2 linked regions of the Rhinolophus ferrumequinum genome follow. The protein of the gene in region 1 interacts with the protein of each later gene in a biochemical or structural test. Links are inferred from orthologs where the notes say so. Each region holds a gene or a part of one and is shown in the gene's direction. Other genes may lie near its edges.

Region 1 (3,747 bases):
CAAACATTAAATTTCTTGTTAAACTTGGGAAGAGTGGAAGTGAAATCAGGGACTTGTTAGTCCAAGTTTATGGGGATAATGCCATGAAGAAAACGGCAGTGTACAAATGGATTAAATGTTTTTCCTAGAGGAGGAACAGAGGTTCAGGGTGGCCAGTAACGAGCAGAATCGACAAAAACATTGCAAAAATTCATCGAATTGTGCGTCAAAATTATCGATTGACTATGAGAAGCATAGCAGACCAAGTAAACATCTATAGAGAAACAGAAAAATCTTAACTGAATATCTTGGAATGAGAAAGGTGTGTGCGAAAATGGTCCTGAAGGAGCTCACTGATGAACAAAAGCAAAGGAGAGTCGAAGTTTGCCAAGACCTTTTGGAGAGGCAAGACAATGTTTTGGGCTGTGTTGTCACTGGTGACGCAACATGGGTGTACCAATACGACCCTGAAACAAAGCGTCAAAGTGCACAATGGAAGTCAGTTCTCCATGACCAGAAAAGTTCCATCAGTCCAAATCGAGAGTCAAAACGATGTTGCTAACCTTTTTTGATATCAGAGGGATTATTTATTATGAATTTGTACCAACTGGACAAACAGTTAACCAAGTTTACTATTTGGAAGTGCTGAAAAGGCTGCGTGTAAAAGTTAGATGAACTGAACATTTTGCCAACAATTCATGGCTCTTGCATCACGACAATGCACCAGCTCACATGGCACTGTCTGTGAGGGAGTTTTTAGCCAGTAAACAAATAACTGTATTGGAACACCCTCCCTACTCACCTGATCTGGCCCCCAATGACTTCTTTACTGGAAGATAAAGGAAATATCAAAAGGAAGACATTTTGATGACATTCAGGACATCAAGGGTAATACGGTGACAGCTATGATGGACATTCCAGAAAAAGAGTTCCAAAATTGCTTTGAAGGGTGGACTAGGCACTGGCATCAGTGCATAGCTTCCCAAGGGGAGTGCTTCGAGGTTGATGTAGTGATATTCAGCAATGAGGTCTGTAGCACTTTTTCCAGGATGAGTTCCCGAACTTAATTGTCAGTCTCCTAAGAGGTTGATGAAGCCGCATCTGGCCTCCCAGTCTGAGCCCTCATCTGCTACCCACTGAAGGGGCTCCGGGATTCTTCAGAACCGCTGCAACTTCTCAAGTGAGTTGCTTGAGAGCCCAAACGGGTTTGGGGCTTGGTCCGTGGGATCGAAAAATGTGATACAACTGGTTGCTCCACCTGAAGGGCCGTCTACCCCACAGGTGGAGCTGCAGGGCGGGGACAAGGGAAAGCCCGAGCCCCGGTCCCAGGGCGGCGCCCTCCTGCCCCAGGGGCGTTCCCCGCTGCGCTGGCGATCTTAACGGGCTCGCGCGGAGGCCCCCGGGCCCCGCCCTCCCCGGGCCCGCCCCCGGCTCCATCTTGCGGGCGACCGGGTTGGGTTGTGACGCTGCTCTCGGGAATCAGGTGAGGAACGGCGCCCCCTACCCTTGCCACCCCCCTCGACCCCCTTAGCCATCCCGCCCGGCCCGCTCTGAGCCCCGCTGTCCCCGAGCTAGCGCGGCCCCGAGTGTGTCCCCGCGCCAGGGGGCGGTGGAGGGGCCTGTGGGCCTCCCTGGGCGGGCGACTAGATGTGCGCGTCTCGGCCCCCCGGCTGATCGGTGGGGACTTTCGGGCGGGGGCGCATTGGGGAGGGATAGGCAAGGCGGCCAGCCGGCCTGGCGGGCGGGAAACGGGAAGTGCTGTGCGCGGGTTCTGTGCGGCTCGGCCTTCCCGAGGTCAGAGGGAGCCGCGAGGCCCCGCGCACAGGCAGGTGGACCGCAGGTGGAGGGGCTGAGGCCGGAAGATGGTCCTGCTGGAGCGACCTCAGGAAGGCTGAGGAGGGAAACCAGCGAGCGCACCGGCAGCTAATTCTGGCTGGTGACTAGACTTTCCGGTGACACAGCAAATTTAGGGAAACTTGGGAAATTTGTGATGCGCTTAGTGATCCCGTAAGACAATGCACAAGCGTAAAATTGTACACTGGTTCGGGTTTATTATTCTTGGCAACCCTTTTAGGAAATAGCATTGCAGATTGACTCCTGTTCCATGGACAGCAGCAAACGTGTGCTGTTACGGGAAATGGCTGATGTCCACCATAGGGTGACACAGGGAAAGAAGTCGTCCAACTGCCTTTAAACTCCTCAATTTTGCCAGCTGATAGGGACCTGATCTGGTAAAGGCCGTCCTAATTAGGTAATATAACGAGTTAACTCTTAGGCAGGGAAGGAGTTTCAAGACTAGTATAGGTCAAGACTAATTTTGACCACTGCAGATTTAAGCCTCTTTTCAGCCCTCACTGGTGGTGACTGCCTACCCTGTCCACTCAGAAGACGTGCCTCCATGTCTTTATCCGAGGGCTTTTGGGGACTGATTTCAACGGTCCTTGCCAACCAAGAGGCAGGTTTTGGAAAATTGTAGTATCTGCTGTTGGCCATCCTCATTCACCCTTCCTGTTTCCTATTTATTTCATAAATTTGCAACACTTGCCTCGTGTTCTTGGGCTTCCTGCCATCTAGGAGACTCCCATAGTGAGACTCACCCCTTTTAGTACATGACTCACTGGGTGGAGATGGTTTGGAGAACCAAGAATGATTTTCTAGTCTTTTAAAAGTAGTTGCTGACGGAGAATGTTAAAAAGAAAAGCTCTGGTTCACCAGTACAGTCTTGTTATGCGTTGGCCAAAGTGGAGTAATTTGTTGTCACCCTGGACTTGAAGCTTTTCACAAAAGCTTTTTAAATTTACCTTTTCAATAGATGAGACATGCACAATTCTAAATATTGAAAAGTAAGTCTCATTATGCTGCAGCTCTTTTCCCTGGAGGCAGCCCTTGTTTTTCTACTTCCTTGAGAATACTTTCAGGGATATTCTGTGCATAATCAAGCAAATAAATAATTTTTTTACGTATATGGTTGCAAATTATCTATGCAGTTTTCTACCTTGTTCCCCCCCATTTATGATTTAGAGGTGATTTCACACATGAGTTAAAAAACAACAAAAACTAAAACTAATTTTTGATAGCTGCATAACACTTAAATGTATGGCTATCTATAATCTATTTCTCTTATTGATGGACTTTTAGATTGTTTTTAACCTTTTTCCATTACAGATAGTGCTGTAATGAATAGCCTTGTACACACATATGTTGCATTTGTGCAAGTATTTCTATAAGGTGCATTTCTGGAAATGGAACTGCGTTCTAGTCCTTTATATAGTTACATTCTTCAAAATGTACCCAAATTCACTTTCTTAAAATTGCTTTAAATTTTCTCATACTTGTATACAGAGTCTTTATTTTCATTTGGTTTTACAACTCTTGTTGACGTAATTCCTCTAGGCTCTTCAAGGTAGGATTTAATATAGTAGCTAAAGAATGTAGAAATAGGACTTTGTCATTAGAACAATATTCCGAGATTTAGAAATTTAAATTGCCTTTAAAATGATTAATTTCTCTAAGTTATTTTCAGATTTTTTCCCCCCTTCCTTTTGACCCTGACCTCTTTTGCCCTTGATCTAACTGACTGTTCTTAGATGTTGTTGTCTGTCCCTCCTTTACTCCTTATACCAACCAGGCTTAGAGAAGAAGAAAGCAAAAAATGATTTTGCTTGTTCCTCTTTTTACATTCAGGCCTTTGGATCCCAAATGATTATTTTAGAACCGACTGGGTCAGTTTTCTTAATGTCTTATTACATTTCTTATTAACTTATCATT
Region 2 (3,747 bases), on another chromosome or scaffold:
ACATGGGAGTCATATATTTTGGGAGCATTTTGGGAATTTGGGTATCCAAAAAAGAAGACTTGGAGGGAAGTTATACATGAGAGGAAAACAATGACCCTAGTGAGAACACTGCGCAGGACATTGGAATGGAGGAACCTCGTCCACCATATCATGGTGAAAAAGGCCAGTACCATGCTCAGCAGGTGGTCCAAAAACTAATGACTGTTTTTCTGGGCAACCTCCACAGCAAATACTGTGAATCTTGCTCATTAATGAATTTCTAAAAACGTTAAAATTCACAAAAACATTCTGTGTGATTGAAATTACATCAATCAAAACCAAACAGAACTCTCGTCTGAATAGCTTCAGACTGTTCAACTGGGTGAAAAGGAAGAACGTGTGAAGTAAAGAAAACCATTTTCTGAATCACCTTAGTTCTAATCTTTCATCTTCCTGAATATTTACTAATACTCGATTGCTCTAAAAAGCAGCTGAGTAATTTTGGAAAGAGAGTTTATTTTGCCTGAGTCACGCAGATACTAATTGAAACAACTCCCTTTCTAAAGACGCTCTGGGCGGGACTGCCCTGCGCAGTAAAAGCCCTCTGTCCTACCCAAGCCACATCCAGCTACGCCCAGTTTAACCAGGAGATGACAATGTCCCCTAGCAAGGAAACATGCCGTTGTTGTTCAGTGAAATATGTAACCCCAAGCCAAACGCTCCCTTGCACAGTTTCTGAAGTTTATTCCTGTGTTCCAAGGGCGCTTTCATATTTGATTTTTCAACACCTCCATGCCCCTCAAGCATCTAATAGGGGCCCTAATGTATTCAGCCCCTCGCCCTCGATATTGCACTCAGCTTAGAGCAGGTCGGCCCCGGCCAATAAAACTGCTGAAGATGAAAAACGTCAGAAAATAGCCAAGTAGGAAGAAAAATAGAATTCCCCAGGCTCCGAGTTGATGTTGGAATGTGCCATTCGTTTCGCAGGGAGGCAAGTCCCTGGTGTGAATTAATTCGCAGGTCTTAAGTCACTTACCGGGCCTTCGGCGATGCACGGCCTCGGCATATAAGGTACAATAAAGGGCTGGGCGCAGGCAGGGGACCGAGGCAAAAGAGGACCCCCGTGCGGGCAGCGGCTCCGGCGCGCGTCCCCCCCCCCCCCGCCGCCCGCGTGGTGCGCTCCGGGGCGGCCGCGGCGGGCGGGCAGTAAGGCAGGGCGCGCAGGGTGGTGGCGGCGCAGTCTGCACCATGGCGTACCCCGGGCACCCTGGCTCCGGCGGCGGCGGCTTCTACCAAAGCCAGGTAAGTGCTGCCCGCGCGGGACTGCAGCCCGGGCGCGACCCTTGGGTCCTGGGGACGCCGAGAGACCACACTTAGCGACTCTGCTGGGGCGGCTCCCCGGACACCTCCCGCCCCCGGCTTCTCCCTGCCCGCTGCCTCGCCCCAAGCCCAGGCCATTCGGCCTCTTTCCCTGGCTCCCTCCATCTCTCTGTTCCTTCTGCCTCCCCACGGGTGGCTACGCAAGGCCAAGGCACGGGTGGATTGCGACCCCAGAATCCCACCCCGTGACTCTCGGACAGGCGGCGTGAAATTGTGCAAATTGGGTGTGGGCTTCCTCTCCCTCCCTCTGTGTTTCCCCTAACAGCCATTTTAACCTAGAATGGTCCAGAGCTCTACCTCTCTCTCTAAAACAAGGTGAGGGGGGGAAAAAAAATCAAGGAAGGACCGCCAGAGTAAAAGCACTCCGAGAAGAAAGCTGCCTAGCCTGGCTTCTGGGATGCGCGTTGTCTTGGAAACTGTTTCCAAGAATATTCCCCCGTGGCGAAATAGCGCAGCCGAGACACACCTTACCCTCCCTGGCAACACCTGTCTCAAAATGCTTTGAAAATACCATAAACTCTATTAAAAAAAAATTAAGCTCTGCTCATAAATTGTTGCTTGGGTTGCATTTACCTTAGTAACCTGCAGGTTAATAGGGGTTTTTAAAGCTGCTTCACTTATGCAGATGTCATTGTCAGGACAATTCATTTTGGTCCAAGCCGCCAGTTTTTTAAAATTAGACTGGAGTGAGAATGGAAGAAAGAGGTAGAGTGAGTGCAGTTAGTGTGCCCGGTGGTGGGGGGGTAAATGAAGTGAATGGCAGGCCATTGCCTGGCTTTGCACAAAGGCACTCGGTAGTGAAAAAATAAAACTTGGTTCAGCAATATGATGCCAAATTTGTGTTTCCTGTTTTACAGTATGGAGGGGCTCCCGGAGGGCCTTCGTTTCCCGGACAAACTCAGGATCCGCTGTATGGTTACTTCGCTTCAGTAGCTGGACAGGTTAGCTTTTCTGTTTAATACTAGAGAATGGAAAGAGTCTACATTTGTATTAGCCTGTTACAGTGGCACAGAAAAACTACCTTTCCTCTGGAAAAAGAATCCCTTTGCTTCTGCAAAAGAAAAAAGAGAAAGAAGGAAACTTATAGTCACTTATTTCTGAGTTTTCAGAACAAATTAGGGCAAAGTGTTACTGGTGTTTTTATTAGTTCCATTCAGAACTAAACTTGTGATTGAATTAGTGTCCGATTGAACAGAATAGGGGGTTATGAATATGTTTTAAGATCTGTAAGATAGAAAGATGTCTTTAGAACTGTGACTCGATTGTCAGGATCCAGGGTGGTTTCCAGAGAAGAAATTCTGTATCTGGTGAACATAAACCCCTGTTTGCACAACTGAAAGGCATGTACTAGTAATTCTATAACCAGATATTAATGGACACTTTCTTTGGGTTAAATTTGATTGTTTATCAATTACCCCCTTAGGAAATAGGTATTTACGGTAAAAACCCACCAGCTTCAAAATAAGAAAGTTACTACTCTTTTTTACTATCAGGAAGTTAATCTTGTGATCTGTTTAGTTTCTGTTTGATGCAGATTCTGTTACTAGGTCAGATCTTCTATGTCCTTATTAGGTGTTGTGGCCTGTTGACCCAAAGAGAGGACGAAGATTTGCTCCCCAAGACCTTTTACTTCTCTACATTCTGAGTTATTTGACAGGTGCAGGTGGGGATTGATAGGACATATCCCTAGCTCCCGCGGTCACTGTGTATGGTTAATATGCTGTTGGTATAACCCAGACATGTCCAGAGGGAATGTTTGCTCAGATGAATTCAGTTTAGCTTTGTTTTGATCAAAAGCTAGAAGTAACACAATCTTCATGTGAAAATGCCATAGAATATTATGGGATAAAAACCTAAGACCACCTTTTAGAATAGCACTCTAAGAAATGCAGTTTGAGAAATTGAGTGGAAAATTGAGTCTAAAACTGAAAGAGCTTCCCGGTAAGTATCTGCTTGATCTGTTAATGATCTGTATCTTTGAAACCACAAGACACAGCAAAGCTCAATACTCACTTTCTTAGATGGCCCGTGCCTCCATCCATGTAAGTGACCCCACCTACTTAGCTTTCAGCAGCCCTGGCCTGTATCAGAGTAGCCGTCATCTTTCAAACTGTTGATCCTTCTGCTCATTTAGCATTTATAATACCCATGGACTTAGGTGTTTTATTTTAAAACTCCTAAAAGTAACATATATCTAATTCTGACCTAGAATAGCCACTGGGAACTTAAATAATTGGGGCCTGAAAAAAAATTCACCCATTCACATCATAAGCAAAGGTGATCCCAAAGGTCTCTTGCTCTGTCTCTCTCTCTCTGTTTGAACCAAGCTTTTTATTTACTCATGTCAGCTGTGTACCCCGCTTTCCCCTCTCTCCCCCAAAAGCTAGA

Evidence for each region.
Region 2: the proteins of ANXA7 (region 1) and SRI interact in a biophysical measurement, tested with the Homo sapiens proteins (2 studies listed by BioGRID and IntAct, with this or other methods). The link is inferred for Rhinolophus ferrumequinum from reciprocal best matches to the Homo sapiens genes ANXA7 and SRI.

The regions. Positions count from the first base shown.
Region 1 is NC_046299.1:50,914,133-50,917,879, reverse strand, and holds the start of ANXA7 (annexin A7), read left to right. Parts: upstream 1-1,329; 5' UTR 1,330-1,462; intron 1,463-3,747. UniProt on the Homo sapiens protein: Calcium/phospholipid-binding protein which promotes membrane fusion and is involved in exocytosis.
Region 2 is NC_046303.1:37,057,780-37,061,526, forward strand, and holds the start of SRI (sorcin), read left to right. Parts: upstream 1-1,144; 5' UTR 1,145-1,227; coding exon 1,228-1,281; intron 1,282-2,216; coding exon 2,217-2,300; intron 2,301-3,747. UniProt on the Homo sapiens protein: Calcium-binding protein that modulates excitation-contraction coupling in the heart. Contributes to calcium homeostasis in the heart sarcoplasmic reticulum. Modulates the activity of RYR2 calcium channels.